Linked DNA regions of Arabidopsis thaliana. The protein of the gene in region 1 interacts with the protein of each later gene in a pairwise test. Each region holds a gene or a part of one and is shown on either strand. Other genes may lie near its edges.

Region 1 (4,045 bases):
TCTAACAATATATTTACCATGCAAAATATAAATAAAATATAAATAATATAAATTAATAAAAAAAGTTAGCTATTTTATCATAATTAACACTGTACACTGTTCTATGCATATTATAATTTATACACTATAATATTTTTAACTAAAAATGTATTCCATTATATTTATATACACGTATGTGCAGGGTCAGAATCAAGTAAAAATTACACTATAAGCTCTGTCATTATTAGTGTGATGATTAGTCATGGTATATTGGTCTCGGACTCTCGGTTAATTAATATAAATCGGCTGAAGAAATTGTTTTGCCCCGAGTTAAAAAGAATAAAACAAATAGGTGATGACCCATGAAAAAAGGTCAAAAGACAAAAGAGAATTTCTAGATTGCCACAAATTTCTAGACAAAAGACACAAGATAAGTATAAACCAATTCAACTATAAGAAACTGTGAAATAGCCACAAATTTTATGTGTCTATTTCAACAGTTTTATTTGTAGTATTTTGAGCGTTGACCCATTTTAGTTATTTTCACTAATCAAATTACAGCTTATTTGATTATATGCCATAGCTATTAAGTTTTTTTAAGATTGAGTTGAAAGATCCTTAAACCATCTTGATATATTTCTAAAGTTATACTTGATTATGTTTAAGATGACTTTTCATGGGTTGGCAATTTCCGTAAATCAATCGATTATGTAACTTGAAAAAAAGGACAAACATTATGGAGGCCAAATTAGAGTAACAAAAACCAAGTTGGTAGTGGACTTTTCGTGAAAAAAGAGAGAATTTGTAGTGGAATTCTAAGTATACATACAATTAATATTTGCAGTACTTATATATCAAATAAAAATAAACAGAAGAAGGTTAGTAAACGAAAACCTACTACTTTACTCCTTTTATTGGTAGGTACTCATTTAAGCATGCCTAGGAATCTCTTTCCTCTTTCTTGTTTCCTTTTCTATGTCGGCCTCTACTCTCCAAGAATGGGTGTGGAGATGATCATATGATGACTATGTTGATGATCACATGATGACACAACCATGCATGATACATTTCTTTGTCTCATGAGTCACGGTGACATACATGAATTTTCTAAAATACATGTGTTACAAATGTCATGCATAAGAGAAGCAATTGTACATAGTTTATATGATTATAGTTTTCATTTTCTAAGTAAGAATAGCATTCATTTTCATTTTTCAATATGATTTTAATTCATGTCACTAGCTAATAAAGGGGTATTACTAATCACTGTTATTTATATATCTCTTTGTTTAAATTGGTTTATGTGTATGTGTTGGATATTCATTTTGACTTTGGTGCTATGGTAGCATTTTAGTTCTTTGGTAATTTTCGGTTACCCACATCTTTTTGGATCGAATTAGAATGATAATGGACACGTCTAGACAGCGTAATAATTTGGTGATTACATCTAAGATTTTTGGAATCATATGTTTTGTAATTAATCAGAGTTATTCGGTAGTATGAGACCCCACACGGCTATGAACCATGTTACCATATATTCTAAGTGGGTTTTTAATTTGATAACCACCTACCTATAACTCTAAATTAGTCTATTGGATTTTTCTAATGATCATCATATAAATTTATTCTCTTTATATAATAGTAATCGTTGTAAATAATATATGTGTGTCTCCCATCAATCCGCATCACATTCGTAGAATCATACACGTATGTAAACGCATTTTTGACATACGGAAACCATACAAGTAGGATCTGTTAGGTGGTTATTAATTCAAAATAAAATCTCTTTTCATTAGAAAATATAAAGAGACTACTTTTATAAAAAGATTGGGATTGTAGTTCCTTGCCAACCACCCATATAATAATACTCCCCAACACCAAAAACACAACACAAACTTAGAAAAATGGAAGAAGAAAAGAGATTGGAGCTAAGGCTAGCTCCTCCTTGTCACCAATTCACTTCCAACAACAACATCAATGGATCTAAACAAAAAAGCTCGACCAAAGAAACATCATTCCTTTCCAATAACAGGTTCTCTTAATCTCTTCTCATGAATGATTTGAATCATTCTTGTTCATTGTAGATGTCTTATATGATAATAAAATAAAAATAAAAAACAAAATCCTGGTAATTCTACAGTTTTCGGAGATTAGTTTGGGTTTCGGTATCTAGTTATCAAAAAGTATTTGTGTATATGTTATAACTAGATATGGCTAAAACAGGGTTGAGGTAGCTCCAGTGGTGGGATGGCCGCCGGTGAGATCATCCCGGAGAAACCTAACGGCACAACTAAAGGAGGAGATGAAGAAGAAGGAGAGTGATGAAGAGAAGGAATTGTACGTTAAGATCAACATGGAAGGAGTTCCAATAGGAAGAAAAGTCAACCTTTCAGCTTATAACAACTACCAACAGCTTTCACATGCCGTTGACCAACTCTTCTCTAAGAAAGATTCGTGGGATCTAAACAGACAATACACTTTGGTCTACGAAGACACTGAAGGAGATAAAGTTCTGGTCGGGGATGTTCCTTGGGAGTAAGTTTTAAATCAAACAAAACTAATTCCATTTTTTTTTCTGGAACTGAATATGAACTTACTTTATCAAAAATTCATTTTATATCTATCTACTTTTGTTTTTGTCGAATTTAACAAATATTTTTAGTATGAGTTCCTAAAAAGAGTTTGGCCATTTCTCATCAGATTATTATTTTCCTTTAAAGGTCATATTTTTGGATATTTATCTGATAATAATTTGAATCATTGGACATATTAATGATATAGTTTACTTTATTTGTTAGGATGTTTGTATCTACTGTAAAGAGGTTGCATGTTTTAAAGACCTCCCACGCCTTCTCACTCTCACGTAAGATTACAATTCTTACGAAACTTTTTCATACATCTCATCACTTAATTACTGCCTTGAAATTAACTTATATATTTATTTATTTTTTCACAGCTAGAAAACATGGCAAGGAATAGAGAGAGGTTGGCCAAAATCATCAGTTCGATGGTTTGTTTTTAATGTAATTTTTGTGGAAACTAATGGGGTTTGGCTTTGATTTACTGGTTTTCTTTTTCACTTATGTACTAGGTTTTTGCTTGCTATGTTATTTCTTGTTTTGGTTGTAAATATGCTGTTCGTTTAAGAAATCGGGGGTTAGTATGTTATCGTGTGTATAAAAATAGTGTAAGCACGTAAGTTGATTACAATGCCTGATATGATTCATGCCTTCGTTTCGTTTTTTAGTAGGGAAAATGGTATTTAATTAGCGAAATCAAACCGACTCATTTTATGTTTTTTTCAGAGAGGTAAAAATCCAGAGAGCCTGTTTACTATGTATGAGTAAAGATTACCCGAAATAATAGAGAAATAGATACAAGAGGCTATCCAAGTTTGGTGGGTTCGAGTTTTATAACACCATCCAAAAAAAATTGTTGTTTTGTAACACACATGAGTACCAATTGTTTATTTCACAAAAGACAAACCATTTATTTCATGAACTGTAATCTTGTTATGTTCATGAATTATTTCGGTATAACATGTAATTAACTCGAGTAATATCTTAAAATAGTATTTAGAGTAAAGATAGTAGGGAGAAAGATACTTTATTTTTTTATAACTCATATAATTTTAAAAATTTCATACACCCAAAAATTGATTATGGAGTATGGAAAAACCATGTTAAATTACTTAAATTTTGGTGGCTAATACTACTCGAACTCAGATGGTGAAAACGACTTTAGACTTCATTAATATAAATATATATATATATATATATATATATATATATTTATATGAGTTTTTACTTATTGTCAATTGGTTTTGGAATTAGTAATCTATGAAACTTAACATAGTATCAGTCTATCAGAGGTTGAACATTCGCTGACCCGTTAATCCAACTTGGAAAATGGTCCGATTACCTCTACTAATTGATGATCCAAAGAAAAACTCAATTATGTCGAGATAGGTAAAAAAACATTATTTTAAAAGAAATAATGAATTTAAAATTAGTAAATAAAATTTAAAATTTAAAAATTCTCCTATAAATTTTGTGTCTCACAACTT
Region 2 (7,238 bases), on another chromosome or scaffold:
TTCAACATCTCGGTTATCGATACAACCTCCAACCTGGAGGAGGACCTAACCCGGAGATGGTAAATAGCAGTAATAATAACCAGAGGCCAAGGGATTCAAAACCCAAGATAATGAAGGCTTGCATGTACTTCAACAGCGCAAGGGGTTGTCGCCATGGAGCTAATTGTATGTACCAGCACGATGCTACACCCTACCAGCCGAGGAATCTAAACAATGGTAATATCAACACTTCTGATATGCAGAATGCAAAAAGAATGAGATTTGACAGAGACTGATGCAGAATTAGCATACCACACATGCTCTCTGCCTCTTGCTGTTAGCAGCAGAGCAATTTTTCTATTTTCTCTTGCCTGGCTTTACTGCAATATAAGTTTTATATACATTTGAAATTATTTCTTGGTTTTATGCCACAAATGTAGAATTAATTAGCGAGTATTATTTGGCTCACCATCACAGTAGTACTTATACTATCCCTAGTGTTTTTAAGATGATTTTCTACACTTTTATCTTTAACATTGTGCAGAAAAAAGAGTAAAATAATCACAAGATTTCTAAGACTGTCTCAACTACTGATTCATTCATCACTCTACTACATAATATGAATATAGTTTCAGGTCTCAAATCGGAACAACACATCAAATGCTTACAACAAGATGGTTTCTCCTCTACCAGTTGGAGAAAAGAACATTTCTTACTCTCTTTTTTTTCTTACAAATCAGCATGAGATCATTTTTATATTGTTACATTTATGAAACAGAAGTCTTAAGATCGTTAATGCCTGCGCTGTTCAAAAGCTTCATCCCTTCTTCACTCATCTGCTGGACCTCAGTTGGCGACAATATCCTTATGCACCTTACGCATCCCACAAACTCTCTGCACCAGTTTATGTAGTTATGTAAGGAAAACTATTGTAAGACTGATAGTCAGATGAAGTTAATGGATTCACAGAACAGTGAGAGAGAGACTTACTCCCATGGATCATCTCCTACAAGCAGAACATCACTCTCATAATCAACATATACAAGCTTCCAACCCGAGCTTTGTGGGTGAGTTAGTAGTCCTTCCAATCCAAACATGCATTCGATAGCAGATTTTAGCTCCTCGTAGTCTTTAAAGCTTGTGACATCAATTGATCTCCCGACTGACCCGGTTTTTTGAACCTGCCAAGTCAAAACATTACCCAAACCCCAAAGTTTCATGTCAGATTGTGACACAAGAAATTTGTGGAATGAATGAGAGATAATCTTTTTACCTTAGTGTAGGTTCGGACGCGGGGTGTCGCAATTTTCTGCCATGATGAGCCTTTACTATTTTGCCGCAGACTACAATCATCAAAATCAACATTGCTTGAAGATGTACCAGTGCCTCCAGAATTATCTGGAAAATCTTGGCGAGAGAAGGCCTGTGAGTCTGCAAAGCTAGCTGATGTGATCTGCGACTGGACATCTTGAGCAAAGCTAGTGTTGTTGTTTCCAACCAAACAACCAGAAGGGTGGTTCTGGAAATCAGTGTCTTTGATGGCACAGAAGTCATCAAGGACTGTGTTTGAGAGTGGAGGATCTAGAATGTTACTGGTTGTGCTATTACTCATACAGATATTCTGACTAGCATAAAGGTCCTGCTGCATCAAGGGACTGAACTGGTCAAACTTGAGACCGTTCAACTGAGTGTCCCACACATCATGAAACAGCGGTGAGTTTGTGGAATCCGGTAACACAACAGCTGAAGAATCCTGGGAGGATAGAATGAATGGTTGCTTGTATGATCCGGCAAGAGACTGGAAGGAAGAGACTTGTGATGTCAGCTCATCAGTTTCCAGGAAAGAGAATCCATTTATTGGATCAGACTGTGGTTGGTAAATCTGATGAGTAATGTCAAGACATTGATCAGCTTGTACAGGCGACGAAGCACCCGGTTTCTGAAGTAGCTGATTAACCTTTTCCTCATTACACACTGTGGATGTAGTAACCTGGCTTGCCTGTTCCATTGACTGCTCAAGTCCATGTTGGACTCTACCAGAGCTGCAACCAGAGAGTGTAGAGTTCTCAGGTTTAGCAGGAGCACTCATACTCTGTGAAAGATTCTGTTCTTGGCCACTCGTATTAGAAGCAGATGGGTTCACTGTTAGCTTGTTTTGTGGCTGCACCATCTCAGATTTCTGGTTCATCATCAGGGGTTGCTGCATCTTCATATCTCCTAGCAAACCTCCATTCCCCATTACAATATTCTGCTGCATCTCAGACATGAAAGATGGTACATTTTGGTTGTTGTGAGGCCTCATCATCATTTTCATAAGCTGCTCCGAAGCCATACTAGGGAAAGATGCATATGGCATAATCCCATTCGCGGAATCAGGAACACGTATAAGTGGCCGTTTTATCAAGCTACCCCATTCAGTTTCACCAGCTGCATATTTCATAACAAAACTTTAAGGCAGCAAATCTCATGTAAAGTTCACAACAAGGCACACTTATATTTTACTCACCAAAGTAAGATGGATGGAGCTGACGTTTGAGTCCTGAGGTCAGAGAAGGAAAAATGAAGAGACTTTCAGGTGTTTCGATATCCCATGGACTGACCCGAGTAGGTTTATCATTACATCCAGGCTCATCCCATTCTACCTGAAGGTTACGCCACTTAGAACCAGGCCATCTCAACGGATCCAAATCGCTGATTCCAACAATAGTTCCCATGTACCTAAATACACAACCAAAACGTGTATAAGTGAACAACCAAATTTGATAAACAAAAACAGAAAGATTGCAGTTTACGGATAACTTACCTTCGTTTCCCGGAATCTTCAGTTTCAAACATCATTCCAAATCTCATACCAACTGAGAGCTGAGACCCGCATATCGCCTTACGGTACTTAGCTAGAGGGATCACGAACTCTGCTGGACAAGCTCTGAGAACAAACACCATAAGTTACGTTACAACTAAGAAAATAGTTTTATATCATTGAGGATTGAAGAAGCTTTTGAGCTAACCTTGGATTATAGAATATCAAAAAAGGAGTACGGTTGGCGGTTGCGTGAGCAGCAGCAGCAAGAACACCGATGTGCATACTATCCGCTGAGAGAACTGATGAAGGAAGTGCTGTTTGTTGGCGATTGGCACGCCTAACACCGACCATAAGTTGTGACTTCTCATCCCTTTTGGCACATTTTCAAAGGACAAATGACAGTCAGAAGATAAGCAACACCAAAATGAGTCAGAGCCAAAATATCTCAATAGCCAAGGTTTTTCACCTGATGAACAAAACAGAATCCCCAGCTCTCAATCTCTTCGATCCAACGAACAAACTCCATCCTGTAGTTAGGAGATGTCTCTTTGGTTGCCCTGAGAATGTAAGCAGGAACTGAGCTCAATACCAACTCAATCTAAACAGAGAAAGAGACAAATCTAGTGGTTATACCTCGGTAGATATGGCGAAATGTCCAAGTATTCTCATGAAGATCTCGAACTACAAGCTCTTGCGTTGGCGGCTGTGCTGAGTAGTCCTGCAATGTATTTAACATAACATTAGCAGGCTAGCAGCAGTTAAAGCAATAGGAACATATGAGGAAAAGAGAAGCTCACCAATGGTGGAAATAGCTTCTCTGCAGCTCTACGTGGCACTGAGAAACCTCCATGTGTGCTTGTGTCACTTGCAGTAAGTGTTTTGCAGAAAAACTCAGTCGGGTGCTTACTTCCTCTCAGCATTCCAAAGTCTGGTACAGGGAACACATCTCTCTCCTGATGCACACAAACCATTCAAACTCATTCAACTTCAACATGAGTTCTTAAATGAAACAAAAGGAAGTTGCAAGAATCCAAAACTTACAGAGTGAACAGGTTGAAGACTCATCTGAGCATAGATTTCGTCACTGTCTTTGTCAGCCTATCAAAGGGGAACAAAACCATTGTCAAGAAATATCAAACTTGGTTGCAATTTGTTTGGATACGAAGCAAATGAGAAAGATTGGCGTACATGAAGAGTAACATTATGGACTTGACACATCAACTGAGATGGAAGGTTCGGATAATTAGGAACTTGTGTTGTTGCTGATCTTCTGGTTGAAACAGCAACCTAATAAGTCAAAAAGTGAACAAAAAAAATCAAACCTTTTGAACAGGAGCTAACAAGATCTAGAGAAGTACAATGTGTTTGTTTGTTCTTTAAGACACACAAAGTTACCTGCTCGCTATGACCTTGTGAGAAGTAATACACTAAGCTCCCAACTTGAGGGAGACACACCAAAGGGCCTGCACAAGCGTGCCATAGCTCCGAGTTTATTACCGGCTTTCTTGTACCTGAAAAATGTTCAAAATCGCATTTTTAGGGGAAAGTAACAAAATTTCTAAATGTCATTAGCATAAATTATGAAACCTTTTGTTATCACAGTTTATTCTTAAAAAGGTAACTTTTTTAATAAAAATCTTGAGAAAGAAGAAGATGAAAACCTGACTGGTCTTTCAACAGCTTCATCTCTTCAAGCAAGGTAGATTGAGATGTTGTTGTTGTTATAGTTCCTCCACCATTAACCAAACAACTTGTTTTCATCTTGTCTTCAACACAAGACAATGAAGCCATCATACAGAGAGATTTTTCAATGTTCTGTTTTGTCTCTCCCACACTCAACACTAACTAGGCTTTAGCAAGACTCAAGAGTTTTTCTTTTTCTTTACTAAGTCTTCATTTTATTTTATTTAATACAAGAAGAGACAAAAAGAGCTCTATTGAGCAAAGAGGCTACAAGAAGATAAATCCAGGACAAACCAGAGGAATTAAAGACAAAGCCATTTCATGGAATCTGTTTTTTTTTGGTTAAAGAAGACTCCAAAATCGAAGGACAAAACCCTTACACATGACAAAAACAGAGTGGGAGAGATTAAAGAACATACAAAATAGGGACTACACAGACAAGCATGTCTCTCTTGTGGGGCTCTTGCCTCTTCTCTTTCTCTCTCTCCACTCTTCTTTTCTCAGACCAAATTCGACCCTTCAATGAAGAAGAGAAACCAAAGGTGCCATCATGAAACCACACAGTTTCTTTCTTTGGTTCCGGATGCAAACAAGAACAAGAAGCAATTGAGAGAGAGACAAAAGCTTTTAAGAAAAAAAAAACTTTTGCTTTCTTTTAATTATTTCTCTGAAAAATCCCACATTTTTTCTTCTTCTCTCTCTAATGTATATGAGTATTAGTATAAATGTGTATGTATAGGTTTTATTTTGCTTGGAAATGGGAAAGAGTGTGCATGCTCTTATCCTGCGCTTAAAACTTTCTGTATATGGCGATGCCGTTGCAGCTTTAGACTCTTTAAACGAATAATATTATATTTTATTGTTTCCCATTAATTATAAAATAAAGTTTTGGTATTTCAATAGATACATCTATATTATTATTTAATGTTTTAGAACAGTTTACGTCAAAAATTTAATAAAGTAGAGTAAGCACACGTAATCTCTGATACGCACAGAAACGTAGTTGAATGTACAAGTACTTTCAATGCTTATGTTATAAGGCAGATAATAAAGCTTAAAATAAGTACCATGAGTGAATATTATTTTAAAAAGTGTCCTACTTTTTCAAGAACTTTGTAAAATATAAAATGTTTTTTGATTATGGCAATAAATTAAAATTGATTAAGAACTTTATGACAAAGGAGGAGGCTTCTTTTTTCGTTGCAATAATATATACTTTTCTCAAAATGTTAATCTTTTCTTGCTGAGATTTCGTAAAAGGGATGTGAGTGGTGAGACTTTGGGAGATCTCTAATACAAGGTGCGTATGATAGGAGAGAATGTCAAAATAGCGTATATTAGCACGAAGCCTAAAGAGGTTACGGGAGGAAGTGTATCTTCCAATCTTTTTTGCCCGGGTGTTCTTTTCCTTTCCAAGTTAAGGACTTCAAAAATGTTTTCTTTCTTTGGTTAGAAAAAGTTATTTTGATATTTGCAAGATTTGGTATAGAGATTAAAAAAGATTTAAGTATGGTTTAGTTAAAACTTAAAAGTTATAAGGTGGTATTGTTTATATATACTTAAGAGTTAAGACCACCTCCAAATAAATTGAAAGGACTGTTGTTTGTGGTTCTTGCATTTGTATTGAAATTGAGCTTTGTAAAATATATTTGTATCTACAACAACCAAAAGAAAGGAATATCTTGGTTCTCTGCACCTGTAAACATAGCTTGTTCTGCTCATTATTAATATCTAATACTCTAAACCACATGTGTAATTATGTCTAATTGTGTATAGTGTGTACCATTACATCTTTAGACCTTTTTAGTTACATACATTTTTTTTTTTTACGCACACATCTCTAGTTTGACCTTTCCATTGTTTTCTTGCGACGAAATAATTGACATGCGGTCATTGTATTATATTGTATGATATGAAACCATATCACTTTCCATATCATTACTTATCAATCATACGTAAATAAAAATCGCTTTCCTTCATGTAATATTACTCATAAACAAAATACAAATGAGCATAGTTAAGTTATATATAGGATTAGTACACAATCCACATTATCACATATTAGAGAAAAATAATCAAACATATTATAATTTATAAGTGGATATATAGTAGCATCATTATGATAGAATATCTATATAAACATAACTACTTATTCGGATACGCGTTTGTCACTAAGATATATTTGAATCAAAGGATCTCCAATCAAGTATATAATGTGTGGAATTTGCTGTTGGCAGCACATTTTAATATACAGTTCAAATTTAGCAAGGAGTGAAACATGCTTTTGATGATAATGGAAAAACTCTCATTTCCGGTGCCAAGATTGTGTGCCATCAGCAAAATCTTTGGAACAAATAGTCATTACGTATAACGAGGAATAACATCCCACGATGAGGTTTACTAGATATAATTTTATCATTCTTATCAATTGTTTTCTCTTGTATCGTTTTTTTTTTTCTCTACTGTATATCATTTGTGACAATGCCTTCAATAATCCTAAATTCATAAAAATAAAAACTCTTACCATACCAAATTTTAACCACATGCAAAGAAAAGGATACCAATCAAAATCAAGTGTATGCAGATTATCAATCCGAATCCTTCCTAAACGTTAGTTTGTCTTATGTAGATTGGAAACTTGTAAAAAAACAAGAATAAGAAATGAAGAAAGAAAAAAAGAAAGTGAAAAGCATTATTTGGTGCTTTTGCGTCTGAAAATTTTGACCGCTAGGCACGCGTGAAGTGGACGGCAAATCAATGGTTGAGTAAGAGA
Region 3 (4,303 bases), on another chromosome or scaffold:
AGTCTGACTTATATTTTTTTATTGTTTTGTTTTTATGTAATCGAATTTTTGAGACCGTTGACTTGTTGTTTTATTTGTTCATTTAATTTTTTTCAGTTTCCAAAAAAAAAATAAAAAGAAAATACAACCCATAAACTAACCTCGTCATCATCATATTTTTCAATTTTCATGAACGTTTGTTACTCATATAAGTTGTAACAAATGAATACCATAGAATATTTGTGTTATTTTTGAGATATTCATCCTACAAATGAGAATTTAGTACTTAAAATGAATATTTTGTGTTAGTTCACCCAAAGATTATGTCAAAGAAGAACAATAATTCTCTAATAAACGTGCTACAAGAATAAGAATGCTACTAAATTAATCAATTAAATCATTTAACGTAACAATAGTTACTTAACTCCATTTCCAATTATGTTTTGTTTCAACATATATATTTAAAGGGACAATTAGTGTAAAAAAAAAAAAAAAAAAATCATTGGTTAAATGACCACAAAATAGGTGAATTTAGTGGATGGTTATGCGTTTTAAACCTACTCTTAGATTTGTATAGAATCTGTAACCTTTTATAAATGCGGAAAACAGAAAACGAATCTGTAACTATGGAAGAGAATCCAAGCATGTTTTCTCTATAATGAATGTTTGGAGTTACAACTAGAAATAGAGAAGAAAATCGGATGAAACTAGTTCAAGATATTGGCAAGTTCACCATTTTCATACATTGAGGTCAAAATATCACATCCTCCTACAAGTTCTCCTTTCACAAATATCTGTGGAAACGTTGGCCAATTGCTGTAGTTCTTAAGCGTCTCCCTTAGCCCATGATTATACTCATCGTCAAGAACATCAACAGTTTCATAATCAACTCCTTGGCTTTCAAGAATCCCAACAACTCTCTGTGAGAATCCACATTGAGGAGCACTCCTTGATCCTTTTATGAAAGCTACCACTTTGCTCTCTTTCACTAAACGGTCAATCAGTTCCTCCAAAGGAACCGTGAGCTCAACATGGCGACCTGGAGTGAGACGGATATCGGATTTCTTCCTCGGAGTTTGTTTGACAAATGTGTTGTTCCCTGACTTATTCCCCGGCGGAACTTTTCCAGTTACTTTTATATGTTCTTCTATCCATAATTTCCATGCTTGTGTTAAAACTGCTTTATCTGGTTCTTCTACTATTCCAACCTAGCAAAACAATGATGAAATCAGTTATGGAAGATATATCAACAATACCAAAACTTGTCAATATCCATCACATGAGCATAAACAAAGTCCTATTGAGTCAATGGAGCAAATAAACACTAAAATAATCATAACATAAGTAAATCATAAGCAAAATATAAGCAATAAGTGACAAATAAATGATAGAAAGAGGAAAAATGTAAATTCTTAAGATAATAATACAACCCATAAAAATGTAAATTTCTCAAGAGCAATCTTTAGATTTGACTGTTGTAAGCTGATACAGTTAAGGATCATGGACACAAAAAAAACAAAAGCTCTTGTTATTAATTAAAAGAACCTGACACAGAATGGTAATCAAAATGCCAAAGAGAATCAGTTCTCTCCATTGGTACAAAACCGATATACCTCTCAAACCTCGACAAATCTCGCCAATGCGCACTGTCCTGTATCTATAGAGTAGAATTTCCCTAAAAAACTAATCAAAAGAAAATGCTAAAAAAACAAGTCCTAACTCCTAAGTAACATATACAAAATGAACTATTGATGCATCTCCTAATCATAATGTGTGGTAAGTGTTGTTAAAAGAACTCTTACCAACAACAGAACCAAGAACTTCATTAGCTCTAGTTTTGCAAACAATAGTGATCCTAATGATATGAAATACTATCTCTGGAACTAAAGTGATGAACTTTTGTAGTATTCATTTACCAAAACACTTCCCAAATCTATGAACAGTAATAAACAAAAGTCAACCACAACAAAACAAAGAATCCTTCGTTATAGTAACAGACATGCTACTCCTCTATATGAAATCATGGATAAGTACCTTAACGGAGCCACAAAGCTCCGGCACAGATTTGAGATGAGCAGAGACACTCGCAGCGATGTTCCGAGAAATTCCGACGAACTGAAGCTCGTCGCTCTTATCGTATACAGCGTATACACCGGAAGCGGACGGGATTGAATCAGCCTCTGTGATTGGAAGCAGCTCCGTCTCCGTTAGAGATTTGACGGCGGAGGCGATAAAGAAGGAACGACGACGAGACGGAGCTGTGTCACGGAGTGTGAAGGAGAGAGATGGGAAGGAGAAGGATGGTGTGAAGCGTGAATAGAGGGTGATCACAGGGGTATTTCGAGAAACATGTGGACGAACAACACGCGGAGAGGCTGAGGCGTGCAAGGAGGAAGAAATGGTGATTGCAGCCATTTTTGTCGGAGCTGAGAAAAGTTATCGGTGGAAAATGATGAGCTCTTTTATTTGACATAGGATTTTATCCATTGGGCCTGAATTGGACTGTTATTAAGGCCTTATGATACTTGGGTTTTAAATACCATAATTCGGAAAAGTGGGACCCGCTTTAGTTTCTTTTTTCTTACACATTCCATACTTCAGTCTGTTATGAAACAAAAGGAACATTTGTCTAGTTCACTTCATGATCAAGCCAAATCTACCAATGTGACCCAAAAACATGTGTTTAATCCGGTAAACAGATCTCAGTATGGTTTAAAACAGAACCAAAACAAACAAACAAAATTGGATTTCGAACATAATGCTATTTCTGATTAAAAATTGAATCTGAATCCAAGTTAAAACAGTATGTAATCCAAAAACTGAAATCCATTATATTAAAACCGGTTCTCAACTGGTCTCTTTGTATCTCATTATCTAAAAAGCTTTATAAAACAATAAGATTTTGGCACAGCCTAATCGCTTTCTCAGGGCACAGAGCCACTCATATTATTACCCTATCTACTAGGTTCCTGCTTTCGTATACTTCTCAAAATGCTCTCTTTGTTCCCCTGCAATCTGAAATTCAATCATTGACATCATAAGAAAATGTTGTAACAGAAGTGATAAGATCATTGAGTTGTTACATACATGTTGGATTCTTACGTCTTGCCATTTCTGATTGTGGTTTTTATGGAACAACTTCATCAGAGATAACAGCCTTGCCCAGATAAACCTGTTGCATCTCCTCTTTCCAGATCTGCATCAACTTCATATTTTTAATTTGTTTTCCTACAAAGAGAAATTAACTTGTGTGAAGAATAAATATATTTCATTCCATACCGTGTCACGGAACTCCACCCTTATGTGTGGCACGTTTGTTTTGTGAATGTCGTTTCCATCAGGTCCTCTTTTGTAGTAATCTTTTCCAATCCAGTGCGACTGGAACATCTCAACAAGTTAGTATTATTAGTAGATCGGAACAGAGACATCTTGTTCATTCATACTATGGGCCATGTTGATATAACAAGTACCTTCAGGGCGTGTGAGAAACCTGACTGGTACACTGAGTTACGAGCTATCTCGCACAGGTCACACGCACTCAGCTTCCAAACCTGAAAAATCCAGTTATCATCTTCAGTTAATACATAAATATAACTAAAACCTAGAAGAAAAGGATGTATAGAGAGAAATTTCATTGTTCTTCGTGTTTGCAATTGCAGAAGATCAGTATAAATCATTTAAAGGTAATAACTAATAAGACTTTTAAAAATATAATCAACTTTTCAAGGCCTATGATGTGTGGCAAGACTGCATAATGGAAAGATTATGACTTACTGATGCAGCTATGCTATACTCTTCCACGAGAGGTTCTTTAGTTAAGTGAATCTGAAGGGGGTCATCAGTAGACAGAGAAACATTGAGACCTCTTAAGAAAAACACAGGAAACGGGTTCCGGTGGTAATCTAGAAACAAAGAGTTGTTGCTCAGTGGTGACATGGCCAGACCAATCTGTCAAAAGAAATGTCTTCTTAGAACAGAAACAATAATACATATGTAATACATGCAGGCAGTCTCCACAAACCTGGGCGAGGTAGTACAGATACTGAAGCACAGGAGACTTTCGCAGATTGATTCCATGTGCGATGCTATGGCATGTTAGAAACGTAGCAGCCAAGTGGTCAATGTCACCAGCCTGAAATTTGTAGACATGTTAAAATTCCACTGAACTGTAACTGAAAACTGTTTATCTAGCACAAAGGAAGAAATAACACACCTCTCCAGAATGTGGTCGTAGCGTGATAGTAGTCATGCCCTTTGACTCTCGAAGCTGAAGAAAAATAGTTACTCCATATTACACAGTTTTGAGAACACCAAGTTAGTTACA

The links. The genes of interacting proteins can lie anywhere in the genome.
Region 2: the proteins of IAA28 (region 1) and MP interact in a two-hybrid assay, tested with the Arabidopsis thaliana proteins (3 studies listed by BioGRID, with this or other methods).
Region 3: the proteins of IAA28 (region 1) and CXIP2 interact in binary tests that used the Arabidopsis thaliana proteins (3 or more experiments, as listed by UniProt).

Annotation. Positions count from the first base shown.
Region 1 is NC_003076.8:9,031,597-9,035,641, forward strand, and holds IAA28 (indole-3-acetic acid inducible 28), read left to right. Parts: upstream 1-1,607; 5' UTR 1,608-1,883; coding exon 1,884-2,011; intron 2,012-2,202; coding exon 2,203-2,514; intron 2,515-2,777; coding exon 2,778-2,842; intron 2,843-2,935; coding exon 2,936-2,958; 3' UTR 2,959-3,544; downstream 3,545-4,045. UniProt on the Arabidopsis thaliana protein: Aux/IAA proteins are short-lived transcriptional factors that function as repressors of early auxin response genes at low auxin concentrations.
Region 2 is NC_003070.9:6,884,691-6,891,928, reverse strand, and holds MP (Transcriptional factor B3 family protein / auxin-responsive factor AUX/IAA-like protein), read right to left. Parts: upstream 5,261-7,238; 5' UTR 4,577-5,260; coding exon 4,444-4,576; intron 4,294-4,443; coding exon 4,178-4,293; intron 4,070-4,177; coding exon 3,971-4,069; intron 3,881-3,970; coding exon 3,824-3,880; intron 3,736-3,823; coding exon 3,580-3,735; intron 3,501-3,579; coding exon 3,416-3,500; intron 3,340-3,415; coding exon 3,249-3,339; intron 3,153-3,248; coding exon 2,988-3,152; intron 2,906-2,987; coding exon 2,783-2,905; intron 2,698-2,782; coding exon 2,486-2,697; intron 2,407-2,485; coding exon 1,253-2,406; intron 1,161-1,252; coding exon 970-1,160; intron 874-969; coding exon 747-873; 3' UTR 525-746; downstream 1-524. Other genes in the region: AT1G19860 (Zinc finger C-x8-C-x5-C-x3-H type family protein), read left to right, coding at 1-275. UniProt on the Arabidopsis thaliana protein: Auxin response factors (ARFs) are transcriptional factors that bind specifically to the DNA sequence 5'-TGTCTC-3' found in the auxin-responsive promoter elements (AuxREs). Seems to act as transcriptional activator.
Region 3 is NC_003071.7:16,030,661-16,034,963, forward strand, and holds CXIP2 (CAX-interacting protein 2), read right to left. Parts: upstream 2,510-4,303; 5' UTR 2,395-2,509; coding exon 2,014-2,394; intron 1,188-2,013; coding exon 687-1,187; 3' UTR 525-686; downstream 1-524. Other genes in the region: FAC1 (AMP deaminase, putative / myoadenylate deaminase), read right to left, coding at 3,107-3,175, 3,259-3,357, 3,450-3,530, 3,754-3,927, 4,001-4,111, 4,193-4,246. UniProt on the Arabidopsis thaliana protein: May only reduce GSH-thiol disulfides, but not protein disulfides. Participates probably to the maturation of iron-sulfur proteins and to the regulation of the redox state of the BOLA proteins.